Ovis aries: one gene and its partners. The protein of the gene in region 5 binds, or shares a complex with, the protein of the main gene of each other region. Links are inferred from orthologs where the notes say so. Each region holds a gene or a part of one and is shown on either strand. Other genes may lie near its edges.

Region 1 (4,018 bases), on a different chromosome or scaffold from region 5:
CTGTCCTCCCCTTCTCCTCCTGATTGGCTAGATGGATCTCCTTGCAGTCTAAGGGACTCTCAAGCGTCTTCTCCAACACAGTCCAAAAGCATCAATTCTTCGGCGCTCAGCCTCCTTTACAGTCCAACTCTCACATCCATACATGGCTACTTAAAAAACATAACTTTGATTAGACAGACCTTTGTTGGCAAAGTAATGTCTCTGCTTTTTAATATGCTGTCTAGGTTGGACATAACTTTTCTTCCAAGAAGCGTCTTTTAATTTCATGGCTACAGTCACCGTCTGCAGTGATTTTGGAGCCCAAGAAAAAGTCTCTCACTGTTTCCATTGTTTTCCCATCTATTTGCCATGAAGTGATGGGACCAAATGCCATGATCTTAGTTTTCTGAGTGTTGAGTTTTAAGCCAACATTTTCACTCTCCTCTTTCACTTCCATCAAGAGGCTCTTTAGCTTTTCTTAGCTTTCTGCCAAAAGGGTGGTGTCATCTGCATATTTGAGGTTATTGATATTTCTCCTGGCTATCTTGATTCCAGCTTGTGCTTTATCCAGCCCGGCATTTTGCATGATGTACTCTGCATATAAGTTAAATAAGTAGGGTGACAACATACTTGACGTACTCCTTTCCTGATTTGGAACCAGTCTGTTGTTCCATGTCCAGTTCTAACTGTTGCTTCTTGATCTGAATACAGATTTCTCAGGAGGGCGGTAAGGTGGTCTGGTAATTCCCATCTTTTGAAGAATTTTCCACAGTCAAAGGCTTTGGCGTAGTCAATAAAGCGGAAGTAGAGGTTCCCTTGGAGAAGGCAATGACAACCCACTCCAGTACTCTTGCCTGGAAAATCCCATGGGCGGAGGAGCCTGGTGGGTTGCAGTCCATGGGGTCATGAAGAGTCGGACACGACTGAGCGACTTCACTTTCACTCCTCACTTTCATGCACTGGAGAAGGAAATGGCAACCCACTCCAGTGTTCTTGCCTGGAGAATCCCAGGGACGGGGGAGCCTGGTGGGCTGCCGTCTGTGGGGTCTCACAGAGTCGGGCACGACTGAAGCGACTTGGCAGCAGCGGCAGCAGCACGGGCTCCCTTGCAGCTGCATCGTTTCCGGGTTTTGCGGCTCACCGCCCCTCCCTTCCCAGCTGGAATCCACTTCCGCACTTTGCTCCGTGCCCTGGGCGCCGGGGCGTGGAGGCGGTAGCGCGCACGCGCACAGGGATCCGGCCCGGGCCGAGCGCGCGGCCGGACGATTGCGGGTGAGGGAGAGTCGGCCCTGGCCGGGATGGCGGGCCTGAGGGGTCGTGGTTCGGGTCGGAGCGGGCGGGGGGTCTCGGCTAGGATCTCCTGGCTCCCGGGGCATGCGGGGGCCGGGCGCTAGAGCCCGGGTCCTGGCGATCTGGGTCGGACGATCGTGTAGGGCCGGGGGCGGGCTCGGGCCGCCGTGACGCGGGCGCTCAGCCTGGCCGGGGCGGGCGGGAGGCGGGTGCGAGGCGGCTCCTTCTTGTCGCGAACTCTCTGTGACCTTGGCCAAGTCACTCCATCCCCTTGAGCCGGCGCCTGCGTCTGTGAAGTGCGAATTATGAGCCCTGCCTGCCTGCTGGAGCGGTTTTGAGGCTCGGGGGCGGGACCCCCGAGGGTACCTGCGGTAGAGGGCGGTTCCCCGGGGACCACCCGGGCCTTGGGTGAGGGAGAGGGGCCTTCCGGGCGTAGCATTTTGTTACAGGCTTTGGGAAGGACCGCTCATCTGTAGATTTTTAAAACTCCAGAGCATTATGAAGTAGTTACAAAACTTGTTTAACACAAAGGAGAGAGGTCAGGGCTTCCCCGAGGCCCACGTTGCGCAACTGTTTCAGCAATGCTCACGCTCCGGCCGGAGACGGCTCAGTGAGAATGGTTCGCAGCCGTCGAGACCCTTAGCTGTGGAATTAGTACTATTTGTGATTCCTCGTTTGCCAAAACCCGTTGCGCCCACCTGGGAAACTGTGGCGCTGGCCAAGCAAGTCTAGTATCTGTCCACGTGAGGCAGTCCTCCAGCTTCCCAATGGACCGAATTGTAGAGACTGAGGATGGAGGGGGCGCCATAGCCATTTTGGGTGGTGGAGTGGGAACTCAGGAACCCTCCCGACGCGGGCAAGGGTCTGCAGTGTGACAGATATTATGTAATTATGTAATACGCAACTGCCAATGGTAGAAAGTCACTAACATAAGCCTATTAAGATGTTCTAGGTTGGAAGAAATTCAGAGCATTTGAATTGACTTGAACTGAAACTTTTCGCCGCAGGTGACTAGCATGCAGATAACCGTTCTCTGACCTGCTGCCCCTCTTCTGACATGGCCCACCGCGGTGGGGACAGGGACTTCCAGACTTCAGCGCGGCGCATGGGCACCTCTTTGCTCTTCCAGCTCTCGGTGCATGAGCGGGAACTGGACCTGGTGTTTCTGGATCACAGCTATGCTAAGCCGTGGAGTGCCCACCCCGATGCCAGTAGTGCCCGCCCCACCCGCATGCTCTTTGTTACTCCTCGGAGGCAGCACGAAAGTACCATGTGAGTTTGGCCTTCTCTCCTATGGGCTGCTGTCACCCTAACTGGGCAGTAATCAGTTGGGGATTAGAGTGTATTTTATTGTGGGAGATTAGGGATGGGGTGGGATGTTTAATTTAGCATCCTTGTTAACCATCCTGAGGATGTCAGGCCTCTTGGTGAACATCTGGATTCAAGACATCTAATGAGTTAGGAAGGCAGGATGTTCAAAGGAAAGCGAACAGCTGATTACATTTAGGATAAGAGGACTTGTGTGGAAAGAGGAATTGAAGATGATTATTTAAACGGAAGAAAAAGATGGAAGAGTTGACTTTTAAAAATTGTCACATAGGATTAGACTCATTCCTAAAATAGCCCAGTGTTCTGGCTCCAACACTGGGGAATAACCTTTTCATGGTAATTTGGTTTGTTTTTTCTCCATTCACCTGCAAAGCTTAGGAGCACATGCCCACGACTTTTCTTTCCCTCTTAACTTGTTATGGAACTGTCACCATGGGTTGATCTTAATCCTTCTGAGATCTGGTTGTATTTTCAGCTTGCCTACGTAATAGGGTCGGGAATTTTTTCATAAACTTACCATGTAATATGTGATACAGTTACATTTGGTCTGTGCAAACTTGTTTAGCAATTCTTTGGAACTTTAAGGCATTCTGATTACGTTGGAACACAAGGTATTTCAAGATTTAGTGATATATTCTATTTTGATGATAAAATCATGCCCTTAATAATTTTATAAACTTTTTGGGGGAGGAGTTTGTTTTTGTTTGTCTCAATCTGACCTGATGTTTAATCTCTAGCACAGGTTTTAGGTTTGCTGGAAAACAGAGATCTTGTGCTTTGCTTCTTTAGATCCACCAGTGAGCCTTAATGAGCTATAAGTGCCATGACATGTGTGTGTAACACATGTAGAATAGTGGTTTTTATTTCATTTCCCAGCGAGAGCCTCATTTTGTTGGCCTATTTTGGATGTACAGGTCACAGGATCTGTGATTTTAGAGAATAATTGAGCATAATCCTGATGCTTCTGATCAAGGGCATCACTGAAGAGCTCTTTTGAATAGAATTGCAAGTCTCTCTTTTAGTTATGTAATAGCTTCTTGCAAGCATTGAAACTCCTGTATTTAAATCTCATGATTATTTTCTTAAAGTGAGATTTTGTGGACTTGGTCATTTCAGCACTCAGAAAATTACTTCCTCTTATAGACTGGCTCCATATATGAGCCCTATAAGTGGGAGTTTGGCGTATTTTAGGAGCTCTTTTTAGGCCACTGGATCTGGAAGGTGGTTGCAATGGGAGTGTAAGTGGGAGCTAGGGGAGAAGCTGGCAGGGGCTACCTCATGTAGGAATTTGATTCTCAGAGTTGGTAAGAAGTCATTGAAGGATTTTAAGCTAGAGATTAAATTTATATTTAAAAAGATCACTTTGAATTTTTGTTTAATAGATGATAGTGCTGAAGTAGAATAGATAAGACCTGGCTAG
Region 2 (4,146 bases), on a different chromosome or scaffold from region 5:
ATCCCACCCACGATGGTTTAACACTAGCATTTTCTAAAGAGCTCTGATACTGACTAAAAGGACTAAAACACTGCAAACAACCCTGTATAAACCTACAACTGCAATGAATTTTTTAAAGAATGGAGAAATGCTAAAATATAAAACCATTCAATAAAGTGCAACTAAATTAATAATAAATGAATGTACTTTGCTGTGTGTAACTTTGTTCAGATACAAAAAGATAAAGAATATACAGCTAAAGCCCAGAGATGGAAAACAACAACAAGCTGCCTAAGTCTCAAGTGTAAATACTTTAACAATGATACATTACTTGGGAATTTGACCACAGTACTTCCAGGAGACAGAGTAAGAAACTTTCTACAAATTAAATACTTAAATTCTACCAAGCTCCAAGTGAGAAGCTAATATTGAGCCTAGACCCTCAATCATTAGACCTGGCAAATGAACTGTATACTCAGGAAAGTAAAGTAAATTTCCTAACAAGGCACAGCTAGCTGACCACTAACGTTAAGAGCAGAGAGACCTGCATCCACATTTGTGGACGGTTATACCTCTTATGGGCTTCCCTTGTGGCTCAGCTGGTAAAGAATCTGCCTGCAATGTGGGGAACCTGGGTTCGATCCCTGGGTTGAGAAGATCCCCTGGAGAAGGGAAAGGCTACCCACTCCAGTATTCCGGCCTGGAGAATTCCAGACTGCTATTGTTTCCCAGCTCACTCTGCTTCTGTTCAATTCGGTCCCATTTATTTTGGGGCTTCCCTGATGGCTCAGATGGTAAAGCGTCTGCCTGCAATGAGGGAGACCCGGGTTCGATTCCCGGGTCGGGAAGATCCCCTGGAGAAGGAAATGGCAATCCACTCCAGCACTCTTGCCTGGAAAATCCCATGGACGGAGGAGCCTGATAGGCTACAGTCCATGGGGTCGCAAAGAGTCGGACACGACTGAGCGACTTCACTATTCACTCTATCTATTTTAAACAAGTCTCTAGAACTCCCTTCCTTGCTCCTTATTTTTAACCCATACTTTATCAACTTTTCAAAAGCCGCCTATCTGCTATTTTAACACTAGAAATGACAACTTTCTCAAATAAAATAACAGGCAGAAAAGGGCAAGCAGGGGCTTCATTGGTAGTCTAGCGGTTAAGACTATGCGCTCCCAATGCAGGGGGCACAGGTTCCATGCCTGGTCCGGGGAACTAAGATCCCGCAAGCCGCATGGTGCGGCCAAAAAAGAAAGAAAAGGGCAAGCTAGAACAAGAGAATCTAGGACAGACTCTTAAATCTTTAAAAAAAAATCCCTGAGCGAGAGGGGAACACTACCAATCTCACTACCTACAGTCAAATATAAGATACAATTGAAGATTCATCTCTTAGTGCACAATGTCCAAGAACAATAAAACCCTTGACATCTCAACTGAGAAACCAACAAAAAAATAACCTCGTGGGAAACCTTAGAACCGCAGCCCAATCCCCCCTCCCTCCCGCCCCAAACAGCCTCAATACGGAAAGGCAGCTGAAGGACACCCCTATAATTTGGAGTTTTCTTATTTTTAGTACTAAATGCTCTCAGACTAATTGTCTAAAAGGGCAACCGCCTTGCACTTGTGCAGCTACACTCCAGTTGCTTTACAAACTCTTCAAGCAGGGATGAAAACTCAAAAAAATATACCCCCTATGAATAAAGAAATACCGGGCTAAAGAATGGGGATGGAAGACCCAGAGACAGACGGCGGCGGAGGAATACAAGGACAAAGTAACACAAAGCGAGAATTGGGCGGGCAGGATGGTCAACGCCGAAGCCCCCGCACTAGAGTGGTTTCTCCCCGAGGGTAGGAAACGGACCGCAGGGCTGGCAACCACGCGAAGGAAAGGGTGTGGCTCCCCGCGGGAGCGGAGGGAGGACAGGGTGGGAAATCCAGGCTGGGGGCAGCGAGTGGAATTGGGAGATGGCAAAAGAAACCCCTGGAAATTTCCAATCGAAACCGGGGCCGCTCAACCCAAGGCACAGCACACAGGCGCTGCCAGGCGCGGTGCTGCTCAAAATCCCCTGCTGGAGAGGTTACTCGGAGCGCACCCAGGAGCTTGCGCTCGTCCTTGGGGTGATGCAAAGTGAGGATACGATTACATTGGAACGGCACCTCCGCCCTAGATTGACAGAGGACCACCAAATCGGGCTAAAGGGAGCGGGGTGGAGGGGGAAGAGAAGGGGGCGGTGAGCTGAACTGGGGAGAAAACGACTGCGAAGGAGAATGAAAGGCAGCGAGAAGGGCAGGGATTCCAATGCAGTCCATTCTGAGACAGTCTAAGCGCGCAGGTGTAGAAGGGTCCCGAGAGAGCAGAAGGCTAGAAAATGTATAGGATTACAAAGCAAGAAAGGAAGCAAAAAGCAAGCAAGCGAGAGAAAATGTTTTAGGAACGGACGACAGCAGAAAACCCAGATCAGATGCCGCTAGACGCCGAAAAGCTTAGCGATGCCACTGATGCAATGGGGATGGCCAGAGGGGAGGGAGTGATGAGAGGCAGAGGACGGCGCGAGACCCCAAGGGGGCGTCTGCCAAAGTAGAACAGACACCGGTACCTGTGCTGTCGGCCACGTTGCCCACGGAAGACGCCATCTGGAGCTTCTAGAGCGAGTGCAAGAAGGGGGTGATTGAATCCTGCAGCCGCCACTACTGGCAATAATGTTTCTAGAGGTAGGAGCACGAGGGCAGCAGCCGTACCAGTGCTTTGGCAGGCTTAAGCAGCAGCAACAGTTACAGCTTTCGAACCCTAGAACTCTGGTTGGCCATCTACCTCTCACGGTCTTGAAATGGCGGCGACGGCTCCTCGGCCGAAACAACACGGACCGGAACTACTTTCTGTTACAATCAAGTACCAGCGCGGAAGTAGCGCGGTAACCAGTGCTACCAACAAAATGACTATAATCAAAGTCAATCGCTCCTATGTAACCTTCCGCGCAGGGCCCATTGCGACAAACACGATTATGTCTAGAGCGCATGCGAGCAGCCGTGTCAGCCCGACTGGCTGTTAGGGCACTGTCTGGGACAGGAGCCACCAAGTTTTTTTTACTAGCGAAGCGGATGGTTTAAAAGAAACTATACACTTGAATGACACTTTTGCCAGTGGTATAGTCTGCTGCTGCTGCTGCTGCTGCTGCTGCTGCTGCTAAGTCGCTTCAGTCGTGTCCGACTCCGTGCGACCCCATAGACGGCAGCCCACCACGCTCCCCCGTCCCTGGGATTCTCCAGGCAAGAACACTGGAGTGGGTTGCCATTTCCTTCTCCAATGCACGAAAATGAAAAGTGAACGTGAAGTTGCTCAGTCGTGTCCGACTCCCAGCGAACCCGTGGACTGCATCCCACCAGGCTCCTCCGTCCATGGGATTTTCCAGGCAAGAGTACTGGAGTGGGTTGCCATTGCCTTCTCCATGGTATAGTCTACTACTTAGCAAAGAGCATAGATTTTAATAGGAATGCCAAAGGCGTATACAGGTTTCATCAACTTCATTCGTATAGTTGAAAGATGATGAATCAATTCTGAGCAAGTAAATCTAAATGGTTATATTTTCAAAGTCTAGAATTCAAAAGAGAGAGTTCCAATTTGAACACGTGTTAGTTCTGATTCCAGCCATTGGTTTAAGCACTTTGATTAAAAGGATTGAGTTTCTCAGGGCCAAATGAACCCAAGCATCTCAGATTTTGGCCATATAGCCCAAAAGTTCCAAATCCTCTTGGTTTCACGATAATTTTGCCCACAGTATTACGGCAAATGCTTCACAACTCAGGGACATGCTGACAGTTTGCACTGCAAAGGCAGCAGCCATAAAACTGTTAAAGATTCATATTCTTCAAAATCCATGACCCTTCCGAGTTGACTTCATTTCCACCACATTGCTTTGTGAATTGTTACAATCAGTGATACCATTTAACTCAAGGCAGCTCAACAATGATAAATTGATTCATTTGCCATCTACCTAAACCACACATCTAGAGACTAAACTGCTGCGCTTCCTTGAACAAATCAGTTCTTTATGATCCTCCTGCAGTTTCAAGTCCACTGTTCAGACGTTTTGTCACATTTAGTATTAATTTATATTGCATCTCTTGTTCCAGAAAGGATTAAAGTAGCTTGCCACATTAGCAAGAAAT
Region 3 (4,178 bases), on a different chromosome or scaffold from region 5:
ATAATGACACTTCAATATGCAGAAGCTATTACTGCTCACAAATAGCTAAGCTATCTTCAACCCTCCTAGCTTATTAATCTATTAACAGCATGCAGTACTACAATCCACATACTACCTTCTAAAATATGTTAAAGCCCTATGTGGAGTTACAACTTACTTTAGGGGATCTTCTTGATCACTGTCTATGCTATCAGCTTCACTGTCAGGGTCACCTCTCCATGTCTGATCCACAGTAATGGGTTCCTGCTCCCCATCACTCCAGCTGTCTTCATCTGAGGCAAGGAAGGGAGAGCAGCCATTAAGACTTCCCACCTCTGTAACTCCACCACACAAAACTAGATTACTTAACACACCAATCCAAATCTTAAAATTAAAAATGCTTAATACAGAAGCACTGGCAAAGAAATATACTTCCTGAGTATAAGTACTTATAACACAAATGAGTTAACCATAGCCTCAAAAAGACAGAAAGGTCAACTCAAAATTATTCTGTTTCCTGAAATTATCTTACCTAACAAAGTAAAGTATAAAAACAGCACTGAAAGAGTCATAAACTCAGGATAAAGTAAACCTAAGCACACACTAATTAAAACCAAAAAGACTGGTGAACAGCAGCAGTCCTGAATTCTCCCAAACTGGCAATGAATTAATAATAATATTGTACTTTCAAGTGCCACATATGTTCAAGGCATTGAGATAAACCAAAGTTCTTTGTTAACTTTCTTCCTGTTTTTTCATTATGAGAAAGAAGATCCTCACCCAGAATTCGGCTGGCTTCACTGCGGCTACTTTCTGGAGTCTGAGACCCCAGCTCTGTCTTAGCGTACGAGCTCAGCTGGCACAAGAGTGTTTCACCCACAGGCCCTGGATTAGTCTTTTTCATTTGCGCATGAAGTGCCAGGGCGTTTCTCCGAGCATGTTCAGCACAGAAGGATACCCTAAGGAGACAAAATATTAACGTTTCATACTCATGCTCCCTCTTACAAGAGTTCAGTGATTTCCACAGACAGTGATCTTTAGATCATTTTCAGGCAATCAAAATGACTATTATCTTCATTTATAGACTAAAAATGCTAGTGAGGCAGAGTAATTTAACGGGCAAGGTCAACTCATTTGGTATTACTGAAGGGAAATGCAGGTTAACATATTCCAGTGATCTATCCATCTAAGGAAATATTCCAACTATAAAAATGCTGGTATCATTTTGCAACAAGTCACACTGATCCACTTTCATCTCTCAAAATTGGTTCTGGGAGGCAATTTTACATTTTATAACACTTCAAAATCAATCCATTGTAGGTAGTAAGATGTGGGACACAATGCAGAATTATCTAGCCAAATTATTTGTGCATGGATAGTTTAAATGATGAAATCTTTTCCTAAAAAAAATACACATGTATACAATTTTGCATTACCTAAGATTCAAGGACAGCCAAAAGAGCCATGGAACCTAGGCTTAAGAATTTATTTTACAGGGCTTCCCTGGTGGCTCAGCTGGTAAAGAATCTGCCTGCAATGCCGCAGACCTGGGTTCGATCCCTGGGTTGGGAAGATCCCTTCGAGAAGGGAAAGGCTTACCCACTCTAGTATCCTGGCCTGGAAAATCCCATGGACTGTATGGTCCACGGGGTCGCAGAGTGGGACACGACTGAGAAACCTTCACAAGGTAAAATTGCCAAAGAGATAATAAAACGGCCCAACTAGGAGATGTCTCTTCGTTTTCACCATTTTAAAAAATTTTCCAAGGATATACCCGTAACTTCAATTTTACAAACACGTGGCCTAAAAAACTTGGCGACTTTTTCCAAGGCCACATCCTGGCACATCTTCCTCTCACTTAAAAACTAAAAGTACATACGACAGTATCTATCTATCTGTCTGTCTGTCTGTCTGTCTCTCTCTCTCTATATATATATATATACACACACATACCCATCTTTCTTCTCAGGCTTTGGGGCAGCACTGGGACATCTTTTTCCGTTCTTCGTCGATATATAACTACACTGCTTGAAAGGCGCATTCTTGTCTTCAAGGATATGCTTAATGCAAAATTCCTGCCCCTCCAGACGAGGTTGCGAACATGGACGATGAGTAAACGAACAAGACAGGGGCTCCTGAGATCTGGGCACTGGGGTGATCCTCCCCCGATTGGTCGGCAAGACGTGAATCCGAATCCTGTTCATACCAAAACCTGCAGGGCTGCACAAAGATCAAAAAGCCTTTAACCTTCCCGAAAAGCCCAGCTCCACAATACCCGGGCAGACTGCGCGCGGCTTCTAAAACGCCAGGCCGAAGTCACGCTCCTTAACTGCCTTCCGCCCAAGTCTACCAAGATATTACTGAATTTGCCTCATCTCAACTTCTCTGTCCAAGCCCTCCCCCAACTCCGACCACAGCCACGTTGAAAGTATCTCAAGGGCTCGCACGGTCGCCACACGAGGGAGAAGCAGCAAGAGGCGGAAGCGCCAGCTCCTGCCGCACGCCGCGGCGCAACGCCGCAGACCCACCCGCCCCACCCCTGGCCTCCGCCTCCTCGCATGCCGCCTTTGTCCCGGCCCGCCTCAAAGCTGAACGCTGGGCCCTGCCCATCCTCGGAGGCCAGTGCAAGCGCCATTTTGTCCTAAGACTCCAAGCACAGGCGAATCTGGGTCCTGGAAGCCAAGAGGAGTAAAGCGCCCCTGACGCTGACTGAGACAGAGTAGCAGCTCGGAACAAACAGAAGGGGCGAAGCAGCAGCCTAACTCCAAAACCGAGGAGCAAGCACAGCCGCCATCTTACCTCTGCCGCTGAGCCGCGCCACTCGCTTTCTGGCAGCGCCAGCCACTTCTAACCATGCCTTTCCGGGCTCCCAGCCACTGATTGGATACTGAGCCTACGACTCTGTGTCACCATTGGCTATCTATAGAGTTCAGGGGGCGGGGCGCTGGGAAACGGCGAGGCTGGGTGGCTAGATGAGGTGTCTGTCAGCAACTCAGCTCTGGAGAGAGTGAGGCGGAGGGAGCGTGGGTTGTGGGTCGGCGGGGACAGCTCTTTACATTTCCGACCGTAGCTGATGTCCAGGCGGATTTGGGGCGCTCTGTGTGTGATCTTAGGCTGCAGCTATTTCACCACCCCTACATAGTCGGTACAACAAAATCGACATGTAGAGGCCAAAGAATCACTGTACATTTGACTCTCATTGTCTATACAGGAAAAGGCTTTAGTTTTTTTTCGTGAACACTTCATTTGTGGAAACATTTTTTTCAAGTATTTACTGAGCCTAGGAAATTACACATATAAACTTTTAATTTTCAGAACCCTAAGAAGTTAGAAACTACGAATAGAACGGGCCCATATCTAGTAAATAGGGCGAGGTGAATTTGAACCCAGCCTTTATTCTGAGTTTCCCCAGTGGCTCAGACGGTAGAGAATCCACATTAAGTGTAGGATACCCGGATTCCATCCCTGGGTCCGGAAGATCCTCTGGAGAAAGGAAAGCCAAGCCACTGAAGTATTCTTGCCTGGAGAATCCCATGGACAAGAGGAGCCTGGCTGAGAGGGGGAGCAAAGAGTGGCACACAACTGAGTGACTAACTCATTCTTTACCCCTTTCTTCTCTCGTGAAGTGCATTGGACTGAGAGGGCTTCCCAGATGGCTCAGATGGTAAAAGTGTCTGCCAGCAATGCGGGAGGCCCAGACTCGATCCCTAGGTCGGGAAGATCCCAGTATTCTTGCCTGGAAAATTCCATGGACAGAGGAGCCTGGTAGGCTATAGTCCACGGGGTCTCAGAGTCTGACACGACTAAGGGAGTTCACTTTCACTTTTTTTCACTTTTTGGACTGAGAAAATTGAGTTCTAAGAAAATTGAGTAAATGAGTTCTAGTTGCGGCCTTGCTTCTCTACAATTCCATGCTAAATAACGCAGGTATATAGAATGGCAGATAAATCCCAATCTTATAATCCTTTAAGGAATTTTTAGTTAAAAGCATTTCATCTCACCAGGACTGTGTTACATACATAAGCAAACACTCCAACCCTCAGAAGTACAGAGATTTGTTATAAACATCCTATAATTTAAAACTAGTAGAGGCAGTCACATTACAGAAAACATGGGAATCTTCAACCAAATGCAGTGATATCAAAAAGGAAAATTAAAACTACTATAGAGAACAATGTAAAGAGGCATTAGGGACTAGG
Region 4 (4,161 bases), on a different chromosome or scaffold from region 5:
AATGAACATCTACTATTTGTCAGGTTCTGACAATGCAGTAGATACAAGATAGTCCCTAACTCTAACTCAGGGGGAAAAAATAAAACAAAGAGAACAAACCAATTAAATAATTACAAACTGTGTTAAGTGCTCTGCTGAAAACAAACATTGATAAGGTAGAGAGCAATTGCCCTGTTTGAAGCAGGAGATCAAGGGGAGCACTTCTAGATTATGTGGTCAAAGAGGGCCTTATTGAGGAGATGACAAACTGAGACCTTTTAAAGAGTCTTTTAAAGTCAGTTTTGCAAAAAGTAACAGCTTAGTCAATGGCCCAGTGCCTGGAAGGACCTTGCAGAGAACCACAGAAATGACAGTAACTTAGTATGGCCAGACAGTTAGCAAGGGTGGAGGATGTGACAGAAAGGTTGGTTGTTTTAAGCAAGGCGGTGACATGATTATATTTACATTTGAAGAGGTGTAATCTAGCTGCCCTGTTTTTCCAAGGTAAAATAAAATCGTTATTGCCTTCCTAAATAACAAATATTTAGCATTCCTCTTTGGAACTTCCCAAGTCCCACTGGGAAAACTTTTCAGACCCTTTGTGGGTGGCTGCAACTCCGACCTTGGTCCCCGGAGATAGAATACAGCTTCTCTTCCCACTAGCAATTGGAATCCCTTCCGAGGAGTTAATGAGGTAAGGCGCAGAATGAGCGGTTCAGAGACTCTAGGTCGGGAAGGAACCTGACTTGTGTGAGGACTTGAAAGCCGCTTGAGAAAGTGGAGGAGTTGAATGCGCGTGAATGTGAGACAGGCAAGTTAGTACAAACTGAAAAGTCTGGCAGATAGGCTACGGTGAAGATTTAGATCTTAATCTGAAGAACAGTGGGCAACGGGCTTTGAGCATGAGGATGGCTACGAACAGAGTTGCGTCTTGAGAAGCTCTTTCTGTCGGAGCATGAAGAACGGATTGGAAGGAGTAAGTGTGGGTGGTGAGGACAACCATCTGATGGTGGACTAGACTGGAGCGTTGGCAGCAGGATGGAGAGAAGCAGGAGGCTTCGAGGCGCATATAGGAGGCATAACTAACAGATGACGGATAGGGTCCAGTCCCGGGCTTCGTGTGATCACAGTGGCTATGGGTGAGAGGGGACTTCGTGCTCCGGATCCAGGCGCAGGCCGGTTCCCGCGCGTCAGGGCAGTGGGCGTGGCTCGCCCGAGCCGTCGCCACGGTGATCGGGTGGGGAGGGGCCGAGGGCGGGGCAGCTGAGGAGCTGCGTCACTCGGAGGTGGCGATGGTGCGTGTGTGTGGGGGGCGGGGGATACGCTGGGCGCGTCCCGGGGGTCACGTGGTGCGCTGCACGCAGAGTCCTTCTGTCGGTTGGTCCTGGAGCGGCGCAGCCGGAGCGGGGCTGTGAGGTGAGCTCGCGGCGAGGCGCGGCGAGGCGAAGCTGGCTGGCTGGGGCTGGGTCGGGCCGGGCCCGCGCCGCGCGCGCGCGCGCGCCGTGCGGGCGGGGACGGTGACGGACGCCACCGCTGCTCCGGTCCCCTGCCCGGCCCCGCTCCCCGCCTGGCCCCGCTTGCCCTGCCCGGAGGGAGGCCCGGGGACCGCTGTTGAGAGCGTGGCGGGCGTGCGAGTGGCGCCCAATCCCCAGGGTTGCCTGCGGGAGTGACGGTGGTTAAGGCCAATCAGCGCCGCCTGAGGAGGTTGGGCCGCGGGGTGCGGGCCCAGGGCGCGGAGCGGGCCGTGTTGCGGGTGGGGGGAAGAGCTAGGGTCGGATCCTGAGCTTGTGTGGCCCCCGAGAGCTCCACCAACAACCCCTGCCCTTGCCTTGTGCTTTGGGAACGCGTTTTCTTTTATAGCCTCTTTAATCCTGTTCTGGGGAGCACACCCCTTTCTCAAGCCCCCGACTATGGGAGTGTCCCCTTTCTCTGTAGTTTTTAGAAAATGTGATCGGTGCAACCCTCTTTCTTAAACTCCATCCCTGGGATTTTATCTTAATTTCCAAAGCTTCCCCAACTGAGGATGGTACCCCCTGACCCACGACCCCCAAATTGGGAGGACACTCCCTTTACGTGTCTCCACTCTGAATAAATGTCCGCTTTCAAATCTGAGGGTTCTTCCCATTTAGCGAGTTTCAAATCTGGGGTCCAGTGACCAGTTTTGGGGGTACTTATGGTCCCACAAATTCAGGGGAGACTTCCCTTTTCCAGGCCTGAAATCTGGCAGAATGCTTGTCAGAATGTCTTAAATTTAGGGGCCGATTCCTTTTCCCAGCCTTCCAAAATCTGGGAGAGCACAGTGTCCAGAGTCTACCCGAAATGAAGTCCAAATCCTGAAATTTTAAGATAAGTGTTTGTATTTACACAGGGAATTCACAGCTTTTCCCAATCACTCTATCCTTGGGGTTCCACCCTTTTTCATGAGTTCTCCAAATCGGACCACCTTATTTCCAGATTTTCATATCTGAAAGTGTTTCCTGCCCCACCCCCACCCTCCACGCTCTACTTTTGGTTACACAGTTCTCAGCCTGCAGCCACCGTCCTGATGTTTGTTAAATCTGGGAGGGCACACCATTTTTCTTAGTTTGCTCATTTCCAGAAAGTGGTCCGTGGTTCTTGAGCTTTGCAGCCATCGGAGAGACTTTGTTTCCTCAGCTTCCCTTTTTGGAGCCCCATTTTCCTTTAGGTGCTCTCCCTGTCAGGTAAGTGCACCTTTCGTCTTCCTTCCTCTGGTGAATAAATATCTTTGTTCAGCATGGCACTTTGTCTGCTTCTGTGGCCTTTTCTCTGTACTCACTTCCTATAGTCTTACCTCCTGAAGTCCCCTCCCCCTGGGGGAGGATCTCCCCGCCCATCCCAAAGGGGTGCCTGTATGTTTTCTTTCATATGTCTACTTTATCTTTCATCTTTCTGCTAACAAGAACTCTCTCTTGGCTTGCTCTATCCCGGGGCATTTTTGATTCCTTTCTTCCTTTGGACGCTGCTCTTGCTTACTGGTGGCTGTAAAGATAGTCCCATTTCTTCCCCTTTCTCTGGAAGTAGCCTCAAGTCCAGGGCTGCCTGACTCCTCCCCAGTGCTGGATTTAAACTGAAAACGAATCCCCCCTTGTATTTCTTTGGTTATTCACAGGTCTCTTAATCCTCCTGATGGTCTGCTGCTTATAAGATTCTGGTTAGAAGGATACTGCTTCATTTCCTTTCATTGGAAGACAAAACAAAACAAAAAAACCCTCCAGAGATTCTTAGTCTTGCTTCCAGCTCCTAAAGCTTCCTCATTGGCTCTTTTCCTTCTTTTTATCAAGAAAAGAGGTCTTTTGGAGGAATCTCTTGGTCACTCTTTTTGTTCCTGGAGTAGAGGTGGGAGATGGATCTTTATCTCTCTCTGTGATCCTCTCACTTATCTGCCAAACCTTGCCCCTGACCCCCACCTTAAAATCTGCAAATGTCCTCTCCTAAGAGCCTCTCAGTAGGCTCTTTCTTTTGTATTTCCCTCTGTCTTTCCAGATCTTACTCAGGGCTTCTCAGCCGGAACCGAACCAGATTAATTTCTCCACAGCTGGAATCTCAAGTGCTTATGGGATAATGACACCTCTGACCTTTCTCCTTTTGGGAAGTACTTGAGTGTGCAGCTGTATGAGGCCTCAGGGCGGGAGAGAGTATGAGCCTGAGAAGCAACCCTGACAGGACAAGGCAGAAAAATACTGCATTTTCAGGACCACGTCCTTCTGAATCTCATTTGAAGATTGGATGTTTGCCAAGCACCTGCTTCTCAGTGATGCTGGGGGATTTAATGATACTCCCAGGAACCTGTAGGAATTAATGGGGCTTGTGAAGTGTGCTGAACTTTGTGTTGGAACTTGAATAAAATGAATAATTTTATTGTATTTTCAGAAGAACTAAGCTTTTTTATATTTCATGTGCATGAAAACCCCCGAGCTGTGTTATTTCAGGAAGTGAAATAGATCCCACATTTATATCATATGATCATTAGTAAGTACCAGATTCATTAAAAAACACTATAGGTCTATCTGAGCAGTACCTAATAAAATATGGTGTACAGAAAGTGAAGAGGTACTTTGTATCTTATTTGCCTGATTGGTACCCTATCTATGTACTGCTATATATAGTTCACCCTTAAAGTATTCTACACCAGTGCTTCTCAAACTTGAATGTGCAAATAAA
Region 5 (4,095 bases):
TAATATAGAACTCCTCAGCCAACAATAGCAGCTGGAACATAAATGAAGATGCGAACTCAGTCTACATTTACCTAAAAATTTCCCGCAATCCAAGTGTTTAGTTTACACAGACTGCATTAATACCTGACGTATTCACTGCATTAATTTGGAATTCCACAGGGCAGGTTAACAGACAAAAATCTAACTACATTAGTATTTAGCTCTGAAGGAAGTCACCTGTACCATCCAGTGAAGCTTGTGGGGGCTTCCATTACTCCTTACCCTTCCCCATCCTTCCTCCCTCCCATTTTCCTCCCTGCATGTATCTTAAGCTTTATCCTCTGTTTAGTCTTTCTTAATGGAGAGAGTTTCCTGGCCATTTAAGTACAAGAAACTGGAAGTAGCCAAGAGAAAGGAGAACAACCACATCATTGGGAGCTTTTTCATGTAAAGATCGTGTTCTCACACTGCCCCCAAAGAGGTTTATCTTGTGAGGTGAAATATGGCACAAAGTGCTACCTGTTGAGAAAAATAGTACAAATTTGCATGCAAAGGACTAGGGAATAGCAGGAAAACTCCCACAAAGCTACAGATATAAACAAACAGGTCTTAGAATGTTCTAAACATCAATCAAGTTTCAGAGTAAATAAATGGCTAGTGACACATCTTCTGTAACACATGAATCAGCTACAGATTTGCAAGAGTGGGACACACCCTAACACCTATGATGATACTAAAGGACCTGTTTGAAAGTGGACCCGGCTGTCTGAATTGCCAGCCCATCCTACTGAGACTGGAACAGAATTTTACAACGGTGTGGGGTTGTCATAATTTAAAGCTAAAAAATAAACACATCATTATCATGAAAGTTAATTTGAGAACTTCATTAATATTTTAACACCAATAATTAAGGACAGGAGCAATACAAAGGAGTAACCAATCAGTTCTAGGAGGCAAACACAAGGGAAAGAAATGTCAGGTAAGACGGTTGAAAAACTGCAAATTCAAAAACTAAAAAAATCTCAATTCTAAAAAATAATAATAATAAAACGAGACCTTTATAATTAAAAAAAAAAAAAAAACCACACACACATCTTACCTTAAGAGGCATCCAAGTAGCATTCATAGTGTCAGCAGTAGTTCAGGCAATAATACTCAGAAACGAGCAAGAATAGAGTCTTAGTAATTCCCCAGCCACCAAGTATGAGAAGATAGGAAAATTTTTTGTTTCAAAAAGGTATCTGAAAAAGAGAGGACTTTCATTTAGACTAAAAATAATCCAAAAATAAGCATATAGTTTAAACTATCTGGACAGAGATTCAAAGTACTATTTGCCTCACCATTTTAAAAAAATGTAGAAAATAACTGTTCCTTTTGGAGAAGGACAAATGCGTGTGGTGTATGTTTCTCCACAGGTATGAAGAAATATATTTCTCCATAAAATTGGATTAAATGTGTAACACATATTTCAGATAATATAAAATTGCTTATTAGAATTATTTCTCAAATAGAAAAATGATTGTCCAGGGTTACTTCATAAACACTATTAAAAAGTGATTTTTTTATCTGATCACTAAAAAATGCCCTTGCCACATTTAGTTTTAATAAATTAAACCCTCTCTGATCATTTTGATTGTCCTAAATTTTCTTGAGTTTAAGCTGCAGAGCCCATTCTATGTGGAAAAATAATAGCCATTCTTGACTGAAGTGCTACAAATAAAAGACCCTTCTTTCCTAGAAATCTTTAATAACAGGCCAAACAATTTTGAGCCAAGTTTGTGTGGAGGTAGGAGGATGGATTAAATGACCTCTTGTAGGATTCGTGCTCTCGTCCTAGGCCTGAATGAAAATTCCAGCTTAACCAGTTACTGCTTCGCTTAAAATGGAGGCTTGCCCGATTAGGGACAAAATAACAGCACCCACCTCTGTAAAATAAATTTTTAAAAATTCAAAGCCTACAGTACCCTCATTTTTAAGAAAAATTAAAAATAAAAACCTCTGGAGTGGATTTGTTCTTGCTATGCGTTTGTCACTTCGGCGTCGAAGACTTGGCATCACTTTCCTTACGCTCGTCGAATTTTTTTTTTTTTTTTGGTGGGGGGAGGGTTGGGGGGAGTTTGACTTCTGACCCAAGTCCGGGAAGGATTTAAGAGCCCCTCCATAATCCCCAACGCAAGAGCTAAGGGGCGAAGAGAAAGGGGAGAGCCCGAGTTCCCACCCCTCCCCCCACCCTAGACCCCAGTCCCAAACAGACCCCCCCTTCCCGCAGTGAGGCGACTCCTTCTGCCCCAAACCCATTGTTAGGGAGGGGGCGTAAGGGAGAGGGGGCTCAAGGCAGGGCGCCGGCGGCCGTTGCTCCGCTCGCTTCTGGAAGGGGGCGGCCCGCGGGATGCAGCTTCCCTTCCTCTCCGCGTCGGTCCGTCCCACCTCGGCTCGGCCTGGCGCCCCGGGCTGTGCTCGGCGCCCCCGGCCCCGGGCCCGGCCCAGCCCGCCCCCCGAGTACCAAGCCCCCGACCCCTCTGCCCGCAGCCCGAGGCCCAGGCCTGCGGGTGGGCGCGGGGCGGGGGTCCCTATGCCCCACACACGCGTCCCCGCTCCCCCAGCCCAGTCGCTTCCAGGGCCCTCGGCGGCGCCCGCTCCCCGGGCCCGTCGGCCCCCCGCCTCCCGGCCGGGCCACCCCCTCGGGCTCCCGCCGTTGGGGCCGCCTCCCCTTCCCCACCATCACCCCTACCGACTCGTGCCCCCACCCCCCGGGGCCCCAGTGCCAACGGCGGCTCCCCCGGCCCCCGGACCTACCTGCACAGCTCAACCAAGCCTAGAAGTGGGGGCGGGGAATCTTCCGCCCTCCTCTATCTCTCATTGGCCCTTCCGGGGAACATAGGTATCTCTATTGGCGGGCGGCGAATGTCCGTCAGAGTGGTGGGGCGGGACAGAAGGGGAGAGGGATGCTGGTGCCTTGGCGTCTCTGTCTCTGTGTATCTCGCTGTCTCTGTCTCGGAGCTTGGAAATGAGAGACATTTGGATGAGAGGACTGGAAATGGGCCTCAGGTGGCAGAAATAGAAACAGGGATCCTGGCAGAGCTTCCCGCAAGTCTGTCACTCCGAACCCACTACCTAAGTCCCCTTTAGATCCTCTTCCCCATCACCCCCAACCCCGGCCCCTCACCCTTGTAGGTTCTTCATCCAGGAAGCGTTGTGAAGAAAACTCGAGGCCGGAAGGCCACAGAGGGAGATTTTATATATGTATATAAAATACACACATACAAATACTTATATAGAAAGTCAACCAGATATAAGGTCACAAGGGCCTGGAGAGGAAAGGACACACATCTGAGATATAGCCAAAATAAAGAATAAAAAAATCACTCTAAGAGCTGGTAACGTGGTTTCCTTCTGGGAGGGGAGTTGAGGGGATCAGGTGTGAGGAAGACTTACATTTCACTATATATCCTTTTGTATCTTTTGATTTTAAAGATTTTGATTTTTTTCCTTTTTTTTTTTAATTACGTGGCTTAATTTTAAAATAACTATAAGGTGGCAAAACCAGGGGGACAGTTAAAATGGTGGTCCGGACAAAGAGGGACAGCATGAAGACTTGGTGAGGAATTTTAGTTTTTAGTATGTTCATTTCCAGATAGCAGGGGTAAAACCAAGTAGAAGTGTTCAGGGAAAACTGCAGTTATGGAATTCAGGAGGGGGTGGATAATCTGGGGAGATGATAGAGTTCTTCACATAATATGGCAATCAGTGACATGCTAAAGGAAGAACTCCCCATAGAAACATAAAAACACATCCACAGTAAAGTAAGGCGGGTGAACAGAAACAGAAAGATGGTTGGTGAGATAAGAAAAACAAATAGTGAAGAGGTATGAAAGTTAAGGGAGGAAGGGTCTCTGGAAAAATAAAACAATAAAACTATGAGAACCTCACAGATGGTACGACTCATTTCAGGGACCCTCTTTAGCTTTATGAAATAAGAATGAGAGCTTGCTATACACCTGAAACTAACAACATTGTAAATCAACTATACTTCAATTTAAAAAAATTTTTTTAAATTAAAAAACCAAGAGCAAAAGCCAAGAGAATACTAAAAAAGCAGAGTTCTTAACTTTTTCA

Evidence for each region. The genes of interacting proteins can lie anywhere in the genome.
Region 1: KANSL1 (region 5) and KANSL3 share a complex: the UniProt entries of both Homo sapiens proteins name them as parts of the NSL complex. The link is inferred for Ovis aries from reciprocal best matches to the Homo sapiens genes KANSL1 and KANSL3.
Region 2: KANSL1 (region 5) and OGT share a complex: the UniProt entries of both Homo sapiens proteins name them as parts of the NSL complex. The link is inferred for Ovis aries from reciprocal best matches to the Homo sapiens genes KANSL1 and OGT.
Region 3: KANSL1 (region 5) and KANSL2 share a complex: the UniProt entries of both Homo sapiens proteins name them as parts of the NSL complex. The link is inferred for Ovis aries from reciprocal best matches to the Homo sapiens genes KANSL1 and KANSL2.
Region 4: KANSL1 (region 5) and PHF20 share a complex: the UniProt entries of both Homo sapiens proteins name them as parts of the NSL complex. The link is inferred for Ovis aries from reciprocal best matches to the Homo sapiens genes KANSL1 and PHF20.

Annotation. Positions count from the first base shown.
Region 1 is NC_056056.1:103,860,308-103,864,325, forward strand, and holds the start of KANSL3 (KAT8 regulatory NSL complex subunit 3), read left to right. Parts: upstream 1-1,209; 5' UTR 1,210-1,677; intron 1,678-2,276; 5' UTR 2,277-2,326; coding exon 2,327-2,541; intron 2,542-4,018. UniProt on the Homo sapiens protein: Non-catalytic component of the NSL histone acetyltransferase complex, a multiprotein complex that mediates histone H4 acetylation at 'Lys-5'- and 'Lys-8' (H4K5ac and H4K8ac) at transcription start sites and promotes transcription initiation.
Region 2 is NC_056080.1:64,199,985-64,204,130, reverse strand, and holds the start of OGT (UDP-N-acetylglucosamine--peptide N-acetylglucosaminyltransferase 110 kDa subunit), read right to left. Parts: upstream 2,810-4,146; 5' UTR 2,614-2,809; coding exon 2,577-2,613; intron 1-2,576. UniProt on the Homo sapiens protein: Catalyzes the transfer of a single N-acetylglucosamine from UDP-GlcNAc to a serine or threonine residue in cytoplasmic and nuclear proteins resulting in their modification with a beta-linked N-acetylglucosamine (O-GlcNAc).
Region 3 is NC_056056.1:137,502,111-137,506,288, reverse strand, and holds the start of KANSL2 (KAT8 regulatory NSL complex subunit 2), read right to left. Parts: upstream 2,810-4,178; 5' UTR 2,779-2,809; intron 2,200-2,778; 5' UTR 2,184-2,199; coding exon 1,933-2,183; intron 939-1,932; coding exon 760-938; intron 273-759; coding exon 158-272; intron 1-157. UniProt on the Homo sapiens protein: Non-catalytic component of the NSL histone acetyltransferase complex, a multiprotein complex that mediates histone H4 acetylation at 'Lys-5'- and 'Lys-8' (H4K5ac and H4K8ac) at transcription start sites and promotes transcription initiation.
Region 4 is NC_056066.1:64,945,085-64,949,245, forward strand, and holds the start of PHF20 (PHD finger protein 20), read left to right. Parts: upstream 1-1,352; 5' UTR 1,353-1,395; exon of another isoform or gene 1,396-2,681; intron 2,682-3,483; 5' UTR 3,484-4,161. UniProt on the Homo sapiens protein: Methyllysine-binding protein, component of the MOF histone acetyltransferase protein complex.
Region 5 is NC_056064.1:45,912,783-45,916,877, forward strand, and holds the start of KANSL1 (KAT8 regulatory NSL complex subunit 1), read right to left. Parts: upstream 2,803-4,095; 5' UTR 2,776-2,802; intron 2,552-2,775; exon of another isoform or gene 1,976-2,551; intron 1,221-1,975; 5' UTR 1,079-1,220; intron 1-1,078. UniProt on the Homo sapiens protein: Non-catalytic component of the NSL histone acetyltransferase complex, a multiprotein complex that mediates histone H4 acetylation at 'Lys-5'- and 'Lys-8' (H4K5ac and H4K8ac) at transcription start sites and promotes transcription initiation.